Regions from separate parts of the Mus musculus genome. Here all the other regions are reported to be linked to region 1. The links are microRNA targets in miRTarBase. Many come from high-throughput screens and were not tested one by one. Region 1 holds a microRNA gene; each other region holds the end of a gene's coding sequence.

Region 1 (4,152 bases):
CACACACACACACGTATAAAAGCAAGCACACACACACCAAGGTATGGCATTCATCGATCCATTTGAATGATATATGTCTTAGAATGTTACTGATTATGCAGTAGAAGGACAGTGAATGGTCTCACTCACAAGGTGTAAACAATTGGCATTGTCAGGAGGATCAGGAGTTCAATTTCATGCTTAACTTCATGAGCAGTTAGAGATCATCCTGGAATAATGTGATGGCCCCTATGTATGTGCCTGTGTGCATAAGTGCGCGCATGTATATGCGTGTATATTTTATGCATATACATACACACACCTACACACACATGCACACAGACATGCGGGAATGGCCCTCACGGATCCATTTGAATGATATGTGACCTACTGCTTTGGAGGTTATGTATGACTGGGCCAGGGTGAGGTCTCACAAACCACGGGAAAACCCTTGGTAGAGTCGGGAAGATCAGGAGTGCAAGTTCATGGTAAAGGCATGATGAGTTAGAGGTCATCCTGGCATTCATGTGATTGCCCCTATGTATGTGTATATGTGTTTATGTGTGTGTACATGTACATATGTGAATATGATATCCATATACATACACGCACACATAAGACACATATGAGCACACAGGCACACAGGAATGGCACTCACTCATTGATCTATGTGACTGTGAGCTTTGGAGATTATGTGTGACTAGGTCAGGGAGAGTTATCACCCATCATGTTAAAAATGCTTGTTAGAATCAGGAGGTCAGGAGTTCAAATTCATGCTTTATTTCATGATGACTTAGAGATCTGCCTGGGAATCATGTGATGTCCCCATGTATGTGTATATGTGTGTAACTGTGTGTGGATTGTGTATATGAATATACATACCTACACACACATAGACCCATCCACAGACACAGACACACACACGCATGCCACTCCTCAGTCCATTTGAATGATATGTGACTTAGAGTTTTAGAGATTCTGCAGTACTCAATAGGGAGAGGTCTCACACCACAGAGTCAGGTGGATCAAGAGTTCAAATTCATGTTTAACTTCATGATGAGTTAGAGATCAGCATGCTATTCATGTGATGACCATAAAGAATGTGCATGTGTGTATAGCTTTGTGCACATACACTTCTCTATATGAATATGCATATACACGCATGCACACACACTCACTCACAGGAATGGCCAGAGCTATGTCTCAGTTAACTTACCAGGTAAAACGCTTGCCTTTTGGATCAGCAGTTCAAATTCCTGAATAACTTCAAAATGACCTAGGGATCAGCCTGGCCTCATGGCATCCTCCCCCCATATATGTGCATGTGTGTATAGTTTTGTGTATATGTACATGTGTGTATACAAATATACATCTACATACAGACAAACATAAACACACAGGCACGCACACACACACACACACACACGCGCACACACACAGAGGAATGTCACTCATTGATCCTTTTGAATGACAGGTGACTCAGAGCTTTAGAGATTATGCAGGGCTGGGCCAGTGAGTGCTCTCACTCACAAGGTGAAAATGCTTGCTTGCCAGACTTTGGATGACCAGGAATCAAAATTCATGCTGAACTTCATGATGAGTTCGTGATCAGCTTCGGAGTCTTGTGATGACCCTAGTATATATGCCTGTGTGTATATGTATGTGTGCATGTACATGTGTGTATATGAATATACATATACATACACACATACCCATACAAACATGCATACAAACACACAAAAATTGGCACTCATCCATCTATTTGAATAATTAGTGACTTAGAGTCTTAGAGATTCTGTATGACTGGGGCTGACAGAGAGAGGTCTCAGTCACCAGGAGAAGACTTGCTAGATTCAGGGTGATCAGGAGTGCACATTCATGTTAACGGCATGATGAGTTAGAGATCAGCCTGGCATTCATGTGATGCCTCCATGTATGTGCATGTGTGTATAGTTGTGTGTGGATGTGTGTATTTGCATATAAATAACATACACACACACACACAAGTAAACACAAGTGCACAAACAGACACAGGAATGCCATTCATCGATCCATTGGAATGATAAGTGATTTAGAGTTTTAGAGATTTTGAAGTAGAGACGGTGAATTGTCTCACTCACCAGTTGTAAACGATTGAAAGAGTCAAGAGGATCTGGAGTTCCAATTCACTCCTATGTTCAGCTAGATAGCATCCTGGTATTCATGTGATATCGCCCATGTGTGTGCATGTGAGTATAGTTGTGTGTGCATGTCTGTATTTGAATATACATAACATACACACACTAATGCAAGTACACACACACACACACACACACACACACACTCACACCAATGCCACTCATCAATCCATTGGAATGATGTGTCACTTAGAGTATTAGAGATTATGCAGTACTTGGCCAGTGAGTGCTCTCAGTCTCTAGGTGAAAATGCTTGCTAGAGTTAAGAGTATTCAGGAGTTAAAACACATACTGACCTTCATGAGGATTTAGAGATCAGCCTGTGATTCATGTGATGGCCCCATGATTGTGCATGTGTATATAGTTGTGTGTGCATGTTCATGCATGTATTTGCATATACATAACATACACGTATAAACGCAAGCACACACACATAGAGACACAAGAATGGCTTTCATCGATCCCTTTGAATGATATGTCACTTAGCATATTAGAGATTATGCAGTACTTGGCCAGTGAGTGCTCTTATTCTCTAGGTGAAAATGCTTGCTAGAGTTAAGAGTATCAGGAGTTTAAATTCATGCTTATCCTCATGAGAGATCAGCCTGAGATTCCTCCATGTATGTGCATGTGTGTATAGTTGTGTGTGCATGTTCATGTCTATATTTGAATATACATAACATACACACACACGTATAAACGCAAGCACACACACAGACACAGGAATGGCATTCATTGACCCATTTAAATGATATGCCACTCAGAGTAGTAGAGATTATTCAGTATGGGGCAAGTGAGTGCTCTCATTCTCTAGGTGAAAATGCTTACTATAGTTAGGAGTATCAGAAGTTCAAATTTATGCTTATCTTCAGCATGATTTAGAGATAAGCCTGTGATTCATGTGATGCCTTAAGTGTACATGCAGGTTTGTATAGTTGTGTGTGTATGTTCATGTGTCTATATGGATATACATAACATATACATAGACATATAAACCCTAGCGTGCACACACACACACACACACACACACACACACACACACACACACACACGAATAACATTCATAGATCCATTTATATGATATGCCACCTAGAATATTAGAAATTATTCAGTACTGGGCCAGTGAGTGCTGTCATTTTCTAGGTAAAAATGCTTGCTAGAATCAGGAGTATCAGGAGTTCAAATTCATGCTTATCTTCAGGAGGATATAGATATCTGCCTGTGATTCATGTGATTGCCACCCATGTATGTGCATGGGTGTATAGTTTTGTGTACATGTGCATGTGTGTATATGAATAGACATAACATGCACATACATATAAACACAAGCACACACACACACAGAGACACAGGAATGACACTCATCGATCCATCTGAATGATAGGTGACTTAGAGTTTTAGAGATTATGCAGTAGTGGGACAGTGAATGGTCTCAATCACCAGGTGTAAACCACAGAGTCAGGAGGATCAGGAGTTCAAATCCATGCTTAATTTCAGTTGGAGATCATCCTGGTATTTCTGTGATGCTACCCATGTATGTGCATGTGTGCTTACTTGTATGTGCATGTGCATGTGTTGATATGAATATACATAACATAAACACACGTGTATATGCAGGCACACACACACAGAAGAAATTGCATTCGTCGTTACGTTTGAATGATATATGACTTAGAGCTTTAAGAGTATGTATTACTGGGCCAATGAAACGTCTTACTTACCAGTAAAAATGTTTGTTATATTCAGATGGATCAGGGGTCCAAATTCATGAGTAATTTCAAAATGACATAGAGATCAGCCTGACTTCACGGGGTTCCCCCCAATGTATGTTTATGTGTGTATAGTTTATGTGCATGTGCATGTGTGCATATGCATATACATATACATCCATACAAACATATAGAAGTAGCACAGATACACAGACACACACACACACACCCATCAATCATTTTGAATGACAGGTGACTTAGAGTTTTAGAAATTATGCTGTGCTGGG
Region 2 (4,000 bases), not on the chromosome of region 1:
TAGTGTTTACTTTGCCTTATAAATAGAACTGATAGTTTTGCCATAGTGTTTTCCTGTTTTAGTGATGTAACTCTAGTTACAAACTTCTATATTCCTGTTCTTTCTGTCTCCTTTACCATATTTACTGAGAAATAAAAATATTTTCAGCTATAATGCTTTTATATGGGTGACTAAACTTGTTTTTCAGAAAGCTTTATTATTTATGTTAGGCTTCATGAAAATTGGCACTCAGGATTGCCAAAAGAGAAGTTCAAGGCTAGTCAGGGAGGAATACATAGCATGACACAATCTCAAAAGAAAAAATGGAAGGAGGCTGGGGAGAGAGAGAAAAGAGCCTAATCTGTAGGGAAAATGTTGGGAGGTTTATCCAAACCAGGATCTTACATATTTAGCAAATATATTCTTTGAGAAGATACTGAGGAAATGTTCACCTTACCAACTTTCTAATATTATTATTCTTCAGGTTGAATCTCCAGTAATCTGTAAAATTCTAGATACAGCTGATGAAAATGGACTTCTTTCTCTCCCCAATTAAAAGATATTAAAGTTGAAAGAAAGAAAGATGATTGAAAATCATCACTTTCTCCTGACCACATCTCTTTATAGAGTCTCACCATTGGACCTTGTCTGTAGTATCACAAAAAGGACTGGCAACCACACTGTGAAATTCACGTGTATATAAGAGATTACAGATAAACTTGTAAGGCAGATCCTTGTCTCACTTCATTCATTTTGGTCTTGTATGAACTGATTGCGTTTGGCTTTGCTTGGGTAATGTAATTTCAAAACAAATCTGATCCAAGCAGTTTAGTCCAGCTTATCAAATGTCATATACCTTGTACTTGTTAAAGTATTTTAAATAATATACTTACTGAATAAATTACAGCACATATGACAAGCTAATGAAGTAAAGATAATTTAGAAAGAAGTTTCTAGAAGATTGTATAAAATGAGGGGCCACATAAAATGTATAAAATTCTAGTGCCTGAAATCCTTTCAGCAAATGTTTCTGTGACAGTTGCTCGCTGTCAAGCACTAAACTAGAAGTGGAAATAGAGGAGAGCCTCACAGATAACCTGAGATCACTCAAGAAACTGGTTTTTTTTTTTTTTAAATGAGAGGTTGCTCTTTTTCTTGAACTTTTATGATTCTTACCATGAATGAGTTTACTACAGAGTACATGTCTAGTGCAGACAGTTCGTGACTCATCTCTACATTAGAATGGTTCATTCTAAAATTCACTGTGCTGGCTCTCGTACGTGCCTGCTGTATAGTATAAATCTTAGTTCTGGACAGCTTTACAGCACAATATTTATTTTAAAGAGAATAAAATGTTATTAAGCAGTCTTTTCATGTAATTAGTGGCAGATTATTCAGTTACTTTATTTTCTCCTTTATCCTTTTTGCATATATTTTATCCATATGAATCTGAACAAGGACAAAAAAGTGGCCATAGGGACTGAGAGAATACTTTAGAGGCAGAGCATGTTTGAGGCCCTCAGTTCAGTCTCCCACAACAAAAATAAAAAGTTGGATATTGGGGTTCATGCTTTTGTTCCCAGCACTAAGTAGACAGATTCAGGGGATCAGAAAGTTCAAAGATAGCCTGGTCTACGCCAAGGATAGCCAGTTCTGCACCAACCAGGGCAACAAAGTTGAAAGCCTATCTTAAACAGTCAAAATAAAAGGTGGTCCAGATACTCCTGAAAACCAGTATTTCTGATAAAAGCTATATTAAGAAAGGGTTTATGACCAGGCCTAATGGCATGGCATTAATTAATTAATTAATTAATTAATGTAATGCCAGCACTTGAGAAGTAGATACTAGAAGAATCAGAAGTTCAAAGTCTGCTACATAGTGAGTTTGAAGCCAGCCTGGGCTGCAGGAGACCTTGTCTTAGAAATTAATTAATTAGTTAATAATTAATTAATATGTGAACTTTTTTATTCTACACCAAGTACATTCAGCACTTTTGGGTATCCTACAATTGATTTAATTAATTCAATGCCTTTATTGCTAGGGCGGGGGGTTTAGTGGTAAAGCAGTCTAGGACAGTGGTTTAAAACCTGTGGGTAATGGCCCCTTTAGGGGTTAAATGACCTTTTCATGGGGGAGGGGTGTCACCTAAGTCCATCAGAAAACATATTTACATTATGATTCATAACAGTAGCAAAACTACAGTTAGAAGTAGCAACAAAAAGTTTTATGGTTGAGGTCACCACAACATGAGGAGCTGTATTTAGGGATCACAGCAGTAAGGTAAGTCTAGGAGGTGAAAGAATCTGGCTGGAGACTGGAGATGCAGCTCATTGGCAGACTGCTTAGCAAACACAAGATCCTGGATTCCATTTCCAGCACAGCACAAGAAATGAAGAAAAGAAAAAAGTAAATGACTCAACATAGTGTCTTAACCCCAGAACTTGGAAAACAAAGAAGTATTGCCATGAATTTGAGACCAATCTGATTTGCCATACACTGTGAATTCTAGGCTAATCTAGAAAGAGTGAATGAGATGAGACACTTTCTTAAAAAAAAAAAAAAAAAAAAAGCAAGCTGGGCATACCTTTTATGCCCACTTGAGAAAGCAGAGGCAGGTAGGGTTACTGTGAGTTTGAAACCAGCCTGGTCTACATACTAAGTAATCAGTTATTCCTACATAGCATAGAATGGCCTATATAACAAAAAATATGTAAACTTTTTTATTCTACACCAACTATACTCAGCACCTTTGGGTACCCTACAATTAATTTTAGTTCTCATGCTTACCTACTTGGACTTAGCATCATATGTCACAGGTAAAAAGGATTCAACCTTACAAAGTTGCTCCACATCAGATGTCAGCTACAAATATTGCAAGTACCAAGTTCTAATTTTATATACGTGTGTGTGTGTGTGTGTGTGTGTGTGTGTGTGTGTGTGTGTGTGTGTGTGTGTGTGTGTGTGTGTATGCATGCCTATTTGCCTATATGTGCACCACATAGTTACAGGAAGTTGGGAGCTACCCAAAGTGGGTGCTGGGAACTAAACTCAGGTCCTTTGAAAGATGAGCAAGTGTTTTTAAACACCGAACCATCTATGAAGTCCCTGGATTCTAATACCTTTTACCAGACAGCTATAAATCAGTCTCCAGACCTACTACTTTTTCTCAAAAGTTTGCTAGAATGGCTCACAGAACTCTGGTAAATACTTAGTTTAACAGTTATAAAGGAGAGAAGCACTAATAAAGTCAAATTAAAGAGGTAAATAAGGCGAGGAGGTTGGGCTAGAGTTCAGTTTCTATACTCTCCAGATCTCAAGAATTCAAAAGTTTATATGGAGCGTGAAACCCACCCTTCCCTAATACACACACACACACACACACACACACACACACACACACACACACACAGAAGGGGGGGGGGGGGAGAGGGAGCAGGAGAGGGATCACCGGATGGGATTGAAGTTCCAGCCTTGACAATCATTTGGTCCTTCTGGTAAATGGCCTCATTTGGAGACTGTCTAGGGGTTGTGATTTTTCAGCATAGATGTTGAAAGCAAGCTATATTCTGTTAATCTTGGTTTTTCAGGCTGTGCCTCAACTCTGAGACTCCATTTTACAAGCAGCATTTGAGTAGACAGAAACAAAGACAGATGGGTGACTCTGTACTTTGCAAACAACACAATCCATCTGGCATCACTGACAAGGCACAACTGATAAAGTAAAAACACTATAATTTTGTCAAATTAATATCACACACAACTATGTATGTTAAAATTGTATCAAGAAATTCAGCAAGAACTTACTGAACTTCCTAAACTGAGGAAGAGATGTGGCAACCTAATTTGGACCCAGTTAGAGGAGGACACCTTTAATAGCCCTGGGAGTGACAGCTCCATCTGCTTACCTGGAAACTAAAGCACTTGTGAGTTTATTGCTATCCAATTCTGACATGTAGGAAGGTAAGATAAGGATGAGGGCTACTCTAGGTATGCCCATATCCCTTCTAGATTATGTTTTCC
Region 3 (4,000 bases), not on the chromosome of region 1:
GTGTGTTCCATGTCGGGTATGGCTTGGGTGTTTGCATTATTTTCCTCTCTTTTGCTTTAACAGTTGTCCCACTTTCCTCCCACAGGGACCCAAAGCATCCTTCCGTACCCTATCATTACTATGAGCCTTCAGGACCCGATGAATGTACAATGTACCTCTCTCACGAGCGAGGACGCAAGGGCAGTCATCACCGTTTCATTACAGAGAAACGGGTGTTTAAGAACTGGGCACGGACATTCAACATTCACTTTTTCCAACCAGACTGGAAACCAGAATCACCCGCTGTGAATCATGCCGAGGGTAAGCCTGTGTTCTGAGGGGTGAACATGGTGGACAGCGGTGTCCACGCTGTGTGGCAGGAGAGGAAGGACTTAAACTCTAGGCAGGGAAACGGGAACTGAATGGGTGACCGAGAAGAGCGGCGTCCTTCAGCACCATGGACAGATCCCAGCGGCCAGAGAACATTCCAGAACGCTTACATGCTAATGAGTGTTGTCTCTTGGAAAGAGCAACTGAAGCCTTGATTCAGTGACACTGCCATGGCTAGGAACACCCCAGGTCTCTGGGAGTATTGCCTTCGAAACTGAACCGGGAGCAGCCCGCCACTTTTAGTTGCATTTCTTTACAGATACCCACGTCAAAAGACTTTTTTATCAGAAACCTAACCTGACCTATAGTCTCTGTCATTTGTCAGACTTTGTGATTTGTAAAAGGCCTGAAAGTATGGACATGCTTCCGAAGAGCACATCTCCAATGATTTTCATAAAGCAAATGTCTGCTATTTATTTATTGAGAGTTTTTTAGTGTACTCTAGGCAGTATTTTTATAGATTATGATTATGTGGCAATGTATTCTTCCTGACTCTTTAATCCTGAATGGTGGTTGGTATGGGCTAGGATCGGGCTGATGAGTTACTGAATTCACAATGCCCATTACTAGCTTGAAATCAGTATTTGATGTGGAAATGTGCAACATTGTTTGAACCTCTCTGCTTCAGGCAATTTGCTGTTTCATAACAAAAACAGCTATAACACTTTCTAATGTACATAAATGTCCAAAAGAACAAAATTGAAACCCAAAAACTGTGTTATTAAAACAAAAAGATGCTAATGAGAGAAATTTAAAGATACCCTTACTTTTTCTTCAGTAGCAACTGATAATACAAGCTATTTCTCTTTGAGTTCTACTTCCCCTTTCCTTAGAATGTAGGATAAAGTCCCGAGTTCCTCTTGCAAATCTAAGATAGTCAGAGCCTCTCGTTTATAGGAGGACTAGACACTTGGATTGATGTGGGGCTGACAGTAGGAGGAAACTTCCAGTCAGGGTAGAGATGTCAGGGTCCTCTGGGTAGACATCACGCCTCCTCCTGGGGCTCTCTTGCCTAACTACTATCCCTAGATTCTTTAAGAAAGTGAGAAATTGGGGGCAGGGGGTGGAGGCAGTGCCAAGAGCTGCCCATGTTTTGAGAACACAGAACAGTTCCACCCCACCGGCTGCAAGTCTTGGAATATGAAGGACTCCTCTCTCCATTCAAATCCACGATCAAGTAGTACTATAGACTTTCATTTTAGAAACTTGTATCGCTCAGAAGAGTAAGAAATACTAGACTCTTCTTTACATCGTGCCAAAGGGACTTTAGTGTGTCTAATGACAGGCTTGAGGGCAGCAGCTAATGTCGTGAGGGAACAGGCATTCTCTACAAACAGGACAGGACTTGTGAATAAAGTGTCTCATACCACCAGTTCTTTCCCATCTTTTTAATTAGTGATAATGTCCCATGCCCTTTCATTAAGTAGAACTATTCATTATGCAGGGCGCCATTGTGGAGCTGCAGATACAGTCCAGGTATTCAGACAGCAAAGACAAAGTGTTATTGTGGTGTGGCTTGAGTTATTTAAAGTCAGTAAAAAAGAAAAAGAAAAAAATTAAATGGCTGTCCAAGACATAGTGGAATTCATTCTTCAAGTGTCTTCTGAGTTTGTAGGAAAATGAATTTTATTTTTACCATAGCACAACCTCCTGTTTAGTCTTCTTATATACACAGAAGAAGGGTGTAAACTGCACAGTTGATTGACAGGCTACTTCACAATCCCTCCAAGAGATTATTTGTTGAAATATAAGTGGTTCCATTGACAAATCCTATGCTTATGGAATATTGGAAAAGCATAGCTACCAAGGGGTAAGAATACTATCTGACCTGATCTACTATCTTACTGTCTGAGTATCTTTGGGTGGTGTGTGTGTGTGTGTGTGTGTGTGTGTGTGTGTGTGTGTATGTATGTGTGTCTGTATGGGGGGAATGGTGTGCGTATGTGTGTGTGGTTTCGTGTATGGGTGTTGGTGTGGTATGTATGTTTGTGTGCAGTGTGTGTTTATGTGTGTGTATATATGTGTGTGTATGTGCAATGTGTGTGTATATGTGTGTGTGTGGAGTGTATATATGTGGTGTGTGTATGTGGTGATATATATATATATATATATATACATACATATATATATGTATGTATGTATATGGTATGTGTGTTTATGTGTGTATGTGGGGGGCTAGTATGTGTATGTGGGGATGTGGTGTGTGTGTATATGTGTGTGTGGTGTGTGTATATGTGGGTGTGGGTGTATGTGGGTATGTGTGTATGGTATGTATGTGTGTGTGGTGTGAGTGTATGTGTGGTGTGTGTATGTGTGGGGGTGTATATGTGGGTATGTGGGTGTGTATGGTATGTGTGTGTGTTTAAGGGAGAAAAGCCCACAATGAACATCAAGATACGCCCTTTGTCTAATTTCCTTCCCTCAAATACTCAAAAGAATAAAAAGCAACCAAACGCCCAAAGTCTTGGCTCTTTCACAGAAAAATATTTTAAATTCACTTGTGGCTATAATATAGTGTAGCTAAGTGTAAGAAATGATCACTTGGGTCACAGTTTTACCGCTGCATTAAAGAAGACGCCGAGAGCGGACGGCTTGTGCTGATGGACCTGGTTGTGGGCAATTGAGTTCCTGTCTTACCGCTATCATTTCACAACCGTCCGACGTAATGCCACCCAACACCATTAAACATACACAGGACACACAACCCTGCTTACAGACCCCAGTGGTTCCGGGGTATTTGGAGCCCTGCTCGCTTGGCTTGGTATGTTCCCTTCTCGTCTCTCCCCAGTGCTATCATCAGCCTCCTCCCAGCTTTTAAGACCACAATAATACGATGCCACAGCTGGGCGATCCATGGCTTCTGTTATTTCAACACAAGAACATTTGGCAGAGGCCATTACAATAGATAGCCATTACGGGCAAAGATACAGGAATTCGCAAACAGAATCAATCACTTCAAATGGCCCATAAAAAGAGGAATCTCACATTTAATATTCTACAGTAAATATTCACCCAAGAAAGCGCACATTAAAAGCACATTAGGAGGTAAATATTCAGTGTGCTGCATGGGGACTTGGCTGTGTGATTCCCCTCCGCATACGTGGGTGTTAGGGAGCTGAGCCCCCTGTTTCGTTCATCCTGCTCTATACTCCTTCGGACTGGGCACAGAAACGGATCAATTCAGGGACACACAGGTCCTAAGAAAAGCTCAGACCTTCATAAAACCAAATGAAAAAGACTGCCAAGCCCTGTGCCTAAAGGATACACTTGTGTGGCCTCTTGGTACCCTTAGGTCACTGCCAGATTCGTGTTTCAAAGATGGCATCTCTGAACCACCTGAACTCAATTAGAATGGAGACAGAGAATCTCATATTGAAATAAACATGATTATTTCACATTTCAAGGAACTTTTAGAAGGCAAGTGAATGGTAGGAAGTGAGGGGAAATGTAGAAATTCTTTTAGGATGCAGACATGCTGTGTTCCGGTGTTGTACCTCTCCAAATGTTTGCCCTGGGGAGTGATTCTGGGTCTCCCTGACGAAGGTCCCAGTTTCTCTCTGGTTCTGAGCATTTCACACTGAGTAGCCTTGTCCTTCATCCTCCTGCCTCTCCTGAGCCCCCGTGTCTTCAC
Region 4 (4,000 bases), not on the chromosome of region 1:
CCCTTCCTTTTTAAGACACTAACAGGTATGCCGGGAATGCTAAGGGCCAATGGTTGCCACTGCTCTGTGAACAGCTTTAACAATGCTGGCATCAGCTGAGTGTACATCAGCTTCCCACATGAACTTTTCCCTTTATATGTAGACCTCACAGTTCCATAACAATAAATAAAATTTGTAGTTACAATGCATTTGTCAATTCAGTTTAGGCACAAGGCAACTTCCACGTTGAGTGGAGAGATGAGACAGTCTCTGATTGTGCAGAAGCGACACACTGATTACAGCAGAGTGATATGCTGCAAACACCTCACGGCCGACGGTCTCTGCTGAGCTTCCTATGCTCACGTCTGATGAAGTGCTGACCAGTTGCTTTGATCACAGGATTACATATGAGTTTCTGGTTTCAAGTGTTTTGCTTTTTCTTCTCCCTCCTGCCAGGTTTGTGTCTTCAGATAATCTGAGTTGTCCAAATCTTATGAGGAGAGGTCACCTTCTATTTAGCCTACTGATGACTCTGGAACTGTGACAGGGAGGAAGAGGACAGTTAGTATATTTGATTATAAAGTATAACAATTATTAAAAATAACATTACTCTACAAATCCCAGTTATTGTTCATTATACTTAGGTTTGCGCTAGGCCAGTTCAAGTGACTTACTCAAGAGCCTTTAGGTATCAGAAGTCCCTCCTGATCTGAAAGGCTATGGCCCAAGATCCTCACTGGATGCCTGAAACTGTGCACATTATCTTACTTGCACCGTGATTTTTTTCCCTATACATAAATGCTTAGGATAAAGTTTACAAGTTGGGCATAGTAGTACATGGGCAACAATAAACAATAAAACAGAGCACATAACATTATAAGTCTATGTTTCCTTTTTGGAGACAGGGTCTCACGTATCTCTGGCTGGCTTAGAATTTGCTATGAAGACCAGGTTAACTTAGAGCTCATAATCCCTGCATCTGCCTCAGAATGCTGGAATGAAAAGGATGTGCCACCATGCCCAGCCTTCATTGCAAATTGTTTATGGATTACTGTTGGCTCTAAGTAACTGGAATCATGGAAAGTGAAACTTCCAAGGAAAGGGACTAGGTCTGTAATTGCAAGAGTTTTACCATGTGTGTGTACAGGGAACCTTCCATTAAAAGTTTGTACATCAGCTTAGTCAGCCAATTATGCAAACTCATGTTGGGAGCAGGTGAGCTGGCAATACCGGACCTTAGAGTCCACCCACTCAGCAGCCCACCCATGTTAATGGTTTATATTTATTTTTCCTCAACAGAAAGTTATGAAGTCTTAGCTGCTGGTCCATGGTAGGTTCCCACTAAGTATATATCTAAAGAATTTAAGAAATAGATGGGCGGTAGTGATGCATGCTTTTAATCCCCATACTCCAGAGGCTGAGGCAGGCAGATCTCTGTGAATTGAGACTAGCCTGATGTACAGAACAAGTTACAGGATAGCCAGGGCTGTACAGAGAAACCCTATCTCGGGGAGAAGAAAAAAAAAAGATTTTAAGTAATTATCTTATTAGTTCAAACTTTATACATTCATATACATTCCCATTACAATGTATATTTTAATAATCCTGAAAATGCCATTACAACCTTTTATAATAGGAATATAATTAGGAAAAATCATATTTCCACTTTCTTATTAGATGATAGGCAATAATACTGTTTGGTAACAGCTGGTGAGATGGCTCAGCGGTTAAGAGCACCGACTACTCTTCCGAAGGTCCTGAGTTCAAATCCCAGCAACCACATGGTGGCTCACAACCATCCGTGAGATCTAACGCCCTCTTCCGGAGTGTCTGAAGACAGCTACAGCGTACTCACATATAATAAATAGGTAAATCTTTAAAAAAAAAGTTACTTGGTTCTACATTGGTGGCAAATTGTTGGATATTTTTGTACGTTCCCTAAATTACTGTTACTATTAGTGCAAGTGCAGAAGCACATTTGCCACTGCATGCCTGTGGTGGCCTAAGGACAATGTGCAGAAGTAGGCTTCTCCTTCCATCATGTGGATACCGGGGCTTGAGCTCAGGCTGTCGAGCCTGTATGGCAAGCACTTATAACCGCTGAGCCATCTCCTCGGCCTCTCGGTGAGAATGTTACCATATTATACAGAAAGATAAGGCTAGAGATCCCAACGCAGCAGGAAGTACAACAGGTAAAGATCTGGAGGTAACTAAGAGAGAACGACAGTAGACAGGGAACAAGACAGGTTCTGCGTCCAGTGTGATGCTGACTCTAAGTTCTTTTCAGTCTGAGGGAAGCTCAGCACTTGAGCTTTGTATGAAGCTGTTTCTCATTACTGATCTTCTAGACCTATCAACTTAAAAACTCACCTCTGCCCTGAGAAACAGTGGTGTGTTTTTATCGAAAGACACCAACATTTATTTATAAGATGGATTCATTACTTTCCTAGACTCTGTTTTCTATAAAATATAGGTCAATGGCTTGCCTTTTAGAGAATGTGTGAATTAACAAGCTCTTGCCTGAGGACTCTGTGACTACATGATGACTGGAGGTATCTGTGGGCAGTGGTTTAGGCGTTCCCTCCAGGATGCTGCGGTTACAGTGATAACTGACTACCAGCATGTTGACCTATCTTCCTTTTCCCCTTTTCCACTGCAGTCTAATTTGATCCTAGGAGTGGTGGCATAAACCAAATCTGACATTAAAGAGCAGTTTACTTACTAACTATTCTATCAATTTCCAGACTTTTACCTCAAAATGAGAAACTATATTTGGTATAATTTCTGCTTCCATCCATTTGCCTCTACTATTTTAAATCTGTTGAAAAATATAAGAAAATAATTATATAATGCTTAAAGCTGGTTATAAACATGAAGTCATGGTTGGGAGTGGCAGCACATGCCCTCAATCCCAGCACTTGGGAGGTAGAAGCAGGCAGATCTCTGTGAGTTCAAGGGCAGCCTGGTCTACAGAGTAAGTTCTAGGGCCAGAGAGGGTTACATAGTATAGCCCTGTCTCAAAAACAAAACAAAACAAAAAAACCAAAAACAACAACAACAACAAAAACAAAAAAACCAAAACCCAAACATTTTAAAAATAAAATTACCAGTTCTTCTCTTAATCCATGATGCTAGTTAAAATGCTAGTTTGAAATATTTAATTATAGCTCACATTGATCAGCTTCTTAAATATTAACTTTGCAACTAAGCCTTTGTAAGTAAAACTCCAGCAAAGAGGGCTACTTTGGGTTTATCGCCTCACATCTTTACATTCAGTGGGTTCTAGAGTGTGCTCAATTCATGACTAGAAGAGCACAGCAGCTGCTCTCACAATCTCCATCCAAGGACCCAGGTGGAAGTGTACAGTCATGGAAAAGAGTCGAACCCAGTACTTATGACAAGAAGAATGTGGAGCGAGGGTGGGAACAGGGACAGTTTGAGAAAGGAGTCACTGTGATGTCCTCTTCTTGGAGCATGAGCACACAACACATGCCGACTCAGACCTGGCACTTCTTTATGAGCCATCAGCTGTTCAAACAATGTGAACAGTAATTGCTCTAAAATGACACTGGCTTTGATAAGACAAGAGGAAGGCCCATAGATCATTGTATTCCCAATTACATAACTTTACCAAATTATGTGTGGCCTTTACAATCACCATGGCCCACCACAGAGAGCTGCTGCTCTGCAGTCTAACCACTGTAAAATGAAGTGATGTCCTTATACCTCCCTCTCAGACCCACACTCACCTGGCTGATGTTTACAGATGACCCATAGGGTTGGTAGACTCACTAAGCCCAGGATGGGCTCCTGGCAACGTGTTGGGCGGCTCTGCTGACGCAGCAGAGACTTTTTCTTCTTCTCTTCTCTTAAGGCAGGCTGCTTTGGGGTTGAGGTTCCTCTCTACAGTAGAAGGAGAGAGCTAGCATCACTATTTAAAAAGGCAAACCAAGGGACTGGAGCTGGGGTAAGGCAAGTGGCAGTGAGGCTGGATCTCTAGGCCTGACTGGTGTCTGTTGGC
Region 5 (4,000 bases), not on the chromosome of region 1:
AATCATGGGAGGCATAGAAAGAGAGGTGTCTGAGTGGGAGAGGGGAGAGGGAAGGGAAGTGGGACATGATCAGATATGGTGGTGTTTTTAGAGGGGGAGACAGGAGAAAAGCCCAGAGGGTCAGGAGAACAAATGGAAATTTGCAGCTGAGAGAGTGGGGATCAAGGGGAATCTCTAGATGGCTCCCAGATGTGAGAGGCTCCCAGGAATCAATGGGAATGACCTTAGCCAAAATACCCAACAGTGGGGAGATGGAATCTGAAGAGACCACCTCCAGTAGAGAGATAGGGCCTCCAGTGGAGGTTTGGAGTCACCAACCTACCTTCAAACTTTTTGATCCAGAATTGCTCCTGTCTAAAGAAAATACAGGGACAAAATTGGAGCAGAGACTAAAGGAAAGGTCATCCAGTGACCGGCCCAACTTCGGATCCATCCCATGGGCAGACATCAAACCCTGACACTATTATGTTGTGATAGCAAACAGGAGTCTAGCATGGTTGTCCTCTGAGAGGCTCTACCAGCAGCTTACTAAGACACATGCAGATGCTTACAGCCAACCATTGGAGTGATGTTGGGATCCCTGCGGAAGAGTTAGGGGAAAGACTGAAGGAGCAAAGAGGAGAGCAGATGAGGTGAAGAACTCTTGGAGGGAAGACTGGGAAGGGGAGCAACATCTGGAATGTGAATGAATAAAGCAGTTTTTAAAAGTAAAATAAAGTATAACCTTTAACTGAGCATGCTTAGTTGCATCCATCTAACTGAGTATGCTCAGATGTGCATGTCCCTGAAGTGCTTTCTCATATGCATATCTGTAGGCTTTCCGAATAAAACCCCTGCTGTTCCCAGTTCCAATGAAAGCATGGCCTGGTACCATTTCTCAAGCTCACTCACCTGCTGCAGGTAATCTTTCTCCACTCTTTTCTCTTGGCATTGCTTGTTTTAGCTTTCTATTCATGTGATACATACCCATTGTATGGCATAAGAGTCCTTTTTTGTTTGTTCATTTGGTTGATTGTTTAGTTGTTTTGGTTTTCGGAGGTAAGTGGCTGTTGTTGCAGTTGTTTATATTTTATTTTTGGTAGGCTTTTTTTTTGAAACACAATATACACTTGTCACACAGAATGTTTCACCTTTTATTTTAGACTTGGATCTTCTGCAATCAATTAGCAAATTGCTGCATTTCTTGAGAAAGCATTAAACCCACTTTATACAATTATACTAAAATAAGTAAAACCAAATTCACACTTTTAGATATTAGAAGCGTTAAAACAACATAGTTTACACCAAGGCTGTAAGAACTATGGAATTACAAATTTTCCTACTATGTGACTTGTTTATTTATTCTATGTTTTACTTAAGAGATAAAAGGTTAAATATAGATGCCTTATATTTATATATTTATTTATATATAACTGCCCAAATGCTCACAGAAAGGTGAAGTGATCACGAGGGGCTTTAGAAAGCCAGTGTGACACTGATATTGAATCCTCTTGATGCAAACTAGACTTCCAGTCTGTACTGAGCTGTGATGGGTACAGTTATATCTCTCTTGTGTTTTTCCGGCAGCATCCAGAGACTGCAAGACAGACATAAACCTATCTCTAGCAGCAATGGCATGACAGACAGAAAACTACCAGGACCTCCTTCTTATCTATGTTGCTGCTGCATGTATGGAGACTGGGTTTCCAATTAATGTGACAGTACTTGGCTGTATCTGTGTCCAAAGCTCCACTGCATCCTTTATTATCACCCTGGATGAGCTACAGGTTGCTCAATTTTAAAATCCTAATTTGGAAAAATTACAGAAAATCATACAAAATTTAAGTTTTAAAAGAAATATCTGTGGAGTGCTTCCCAGAAGTCTGAAGCTTATGAACACATTCCAGACACTTCTGAAGGCCACAGCAGAGGCCCGTTCTGAGGCCATGATGACCATGGTTCAAGTGCATGACTGATGGACAACTTTTAGACAATTTACTGTTATTTGCACCCAAGACACACAGCCTCTAAATTAGTTTTCTCAGTTTGTACTTGAAAATTACCCCAATCTTCCCACAACTCTGACACCGTAGGAACCAATCAATTCTCATACACCAAAATCAGAGGGAAATTTAGCCTTCCTCTTGCAAGAGAGAGTATTTCCCTTCTGCATATTTTTGAAGGGAACATTGAATACAAATAACTGAGAAATAATTGACTTTCATGCCAAACTTTGTAAACAAAGTCTGCTGGCAAGAGTCTTGGTTCCACATATAACCAAACTTTCCCATAGGAAAAATGATACTTGAAAATCATATCATTTCTTCCTGGGGATCATCCTAAACATATCGTTTAAAAGACGCTATCACTGATGAGTCTGGTTACTCCAGGCCTCGAGGAGGAGGCCTGGAGCTTGTCTTCCATAAGTAGAGACTAAAGAGAGGAAAGTAGGTGTTGACTGTTCCCTGTGGGTAATCAGAAGCAGATGTTCCCCGGGACTTTAGAATTGGACAAAATTTAGATGTTCCTTGTGGTTAGGTAAGTGTCCAGACAAGAAAAAGCTAGGGATGCAAGGCGGTTCCCGTACCTGGATCTCACTGAAGGGAGGTCCTGGAAGAATACTCAGGGAAGGGGAACCATAGTTGGAACAGGTCTCATCTTTTATTTCTCATATTCCTCTAAGTTAAGAAGACTGTGAGAGTAAGATATATGTATTATTTACAAAGTTCTTGGTCCAGAAAAACTGTACATAGTTACAAGGAAATGGTCTAAGTTGTATGGGAAGCCTGTGAAGGCTATGAGGCAGGAAGGAAATTTTGGACTACTTTACAGAAGCTACAAAGGACCAAAGATTTAAAGAGCTGTTGGCTGGTGCACCACCCTGTGCAAAAGCAGCTCAGAAACGTTCTGTACACCTGACTCCTCTAGAGGGAGCTGGAACCTCACTCTCCGGTGATTTCTCTGTACTCTTGGCTTTTGCAGCCTCGGTTAAAGTCTTTTTAGGGCCATATAGATCGGCTTCGGTAAAACGAAGAAAGGTGGGGCATACTGAGCAGGTGATTATCTCTATTCTTGTCAGTCACAGCTAGGTTCTAGCCCCCTTCACCACCACCACCACACCACCACACCACCATACCACCACACCACCACACCACCACACCACCACACCTCCACACCACCACACCTCCACTCTAACACACACACACACACACACACACACACACACACATCTCCAGTGAGGCGTGGCCAGGCAGTTAGAGTGTTCCTAAGAAGCATCAGGCCAGGCTGTTTACCAGGGAGGTCATCCGTGGTGGAAAGCAAAGAAACAAAATACACAGACTTAACGCTGAGGAAGAGATGCCTGGGACATCCTAGGAGCCTACTCACAGTGAAATAGAGAGAGAATTAAAATCACGTTCCAACAACACTGCCCCACCATTTACCCTACGTTCAGGTGTCAAGCCCTGCCCTCAGCTGTGGGGACAAAATAGTAAGGTGCCCTGGCCCAAGCTGTCCTCAGGCATGCTACACACCAGCCTCACCTCAAGGCCGGGCAAATCCCGGATCAGTCCTGGTTAGGGCCTGTGGTATCAGTCCTGGGTAGGGCCTGTGGTACTGAATGCCTGGAATGGGCCTCAGGATTTCGGGCTGCACTTGGGAACCACAGTCCCGGAATTCTCCTGAACCCAGCTGGCAGTGCTGCCTGCGGTGGAAAGAGGTGGAAAGGGCATCAGGCTGAACGGCATGACACCAATTGCCGGAGGCTTCTGCGGAAGCTGTCGTCCAGGAAGGCATAGAGGAAAGGGTTGAGGCAGCTGTTAGCATAGCTCAGGCTGGTGATGAAGTAAGAGATGCCGATGACCAGCGGCGTTTGCGGGAGGTCGGTGGTGAGGGCCACTATGGTACTCAGGTGATAAGGCGTCCAGCAGAGGAGGCACACAGCCAGAATCGCCGCCACCAACAAGGTCACGCGCTTCTTGGCACGATCCAGGGCCTTGGCGTGGCTATCTAGCTGGATAGC

Evidence for each region. The annotated mature microRNA mmu-miR-669c-3p reads UACACACACACACACAAGUAAA and lies in region 1 at 1,969-1,990, shown strand. An mRNA with a match to its seed (bases 2 to 7 or 8) in the 3' UTR can be bound and repressed. Matches are read on the target gene's strand: a 7mer-m8 pairs with bases 2 to 8, a 7mer-A1 pairs with bases 2 to 7 and ends in A, and an 8mer does both.
Region 2: miRTarBase lists Erlec1 as a target of mmu-miR-669c-3p. The part of its 3' UTR that is shown has no 7-base or 8-base seed match.
Region 3: miRTarBase lists St6galnac5 as a target of mmu-miR-669c-3p. The part of its 3' UTR that is shown has no 7-base or 8-base seed match.
Region 4: the mRNA of Tcf12 is a reported target of mmu-miR-669c-3p. The part of its 3' UTR that is shown has no 7-base or 8-base seed match.
Region 5: the mRNA of Npbwr1 is a reported target of mmu-miR-669c-3p. Seed matches in the 3' UTR shown: 7mer-A1 at 3,506-3,512, 7mer-m8 at 3,202-3,208, 7mer-m8 at 3,200-3,206, 7mer-m8 at 3,198-3,204, 7mer-m8 at 3,196-3,202, 7mer-m8 at 3,194-3,200 and 11 more.

What each region holds. Positions count from the first base shown.
Region 1 is chr2:10,507,391-10,511,542 of GRCm38, forward strand. It overlaps Mir669c (microRNA 669c), which reads left to right and starts at 1,906; the gene lies at 1,906-2,014. All of the region lies in intron 10 of Sfmbt2 (Scm-like with four mbt domains 2), which reads left to right. It overlaps Mir467d (microRNA 467d), which reads left to right and starts at 240; the gene lies at 240-324. Mir466 (microRNA 466) reads left to right here and starts at 528; the gene lies at 528-600. It also overlaps Mir297c and Mir669a-2.
Region 2 is chr11:30,928,312-30,932,311 of GRCm38, reverse strand. It overlaps Erlec1 (endoplasmic reticulum lectin 1), which reads left to right. Exons shown (of 14, transcript NM_025745.3): 14 at 464-2,528. The coding sequence ends at 535. Among named protein-coding and RNA genes, the nearest start is that of Erlec1, 24 kb to the left of the region's middle.
Region 3 is chr3:152,817,828-152,821,827 of GRCm38, reverse strand. St6galnac5 (ST6 (alpha-N-acetyl-neuraminyl-2,3-beta-galactosyl-1,3)-N-acetylgalactosaminide alpha-2,6-sialyltransferase 5) reads left to right here. Exons shown (of 5, transcript NM_012028.5): 5 at 86-1,943. The coding sequence ends at 317. It also overlaps a transcript of Pigk not described here. Among named protein-coding and RNA genes, the nearest start is that of Gm40181, 64 kb to the right of the region's middle.
Region 4 is chr9:71,846,044-71,850,043 of GRCm38, forward strand. It overlaps Tcf12 (transcription factor 12), which reads right to left. Exons shown (of 21, transcript NM_011544.3): 20 at 3,729-3,882; 21 at 1-517. The coding sequence ends at 3,740. Among named protein-coding and RNA genes, the nearest start is that of Cgnl1, 76 kb to the left of the region's middle.
Region 5 is chr1:5,912,595-5,916,594 of GRCm38, forward strand. Npbwr1 (neuropeptides B/W receptor 1) reads right to left here. Exons shown (of 1, transcript NM_010342.1): 1 at 1,113-4,000. The coding sequence ends at 3,710. Among named protein-coding and RNA genes, the nearest start is that of Npbwr1, 2.8 kb to the right of the region's middle.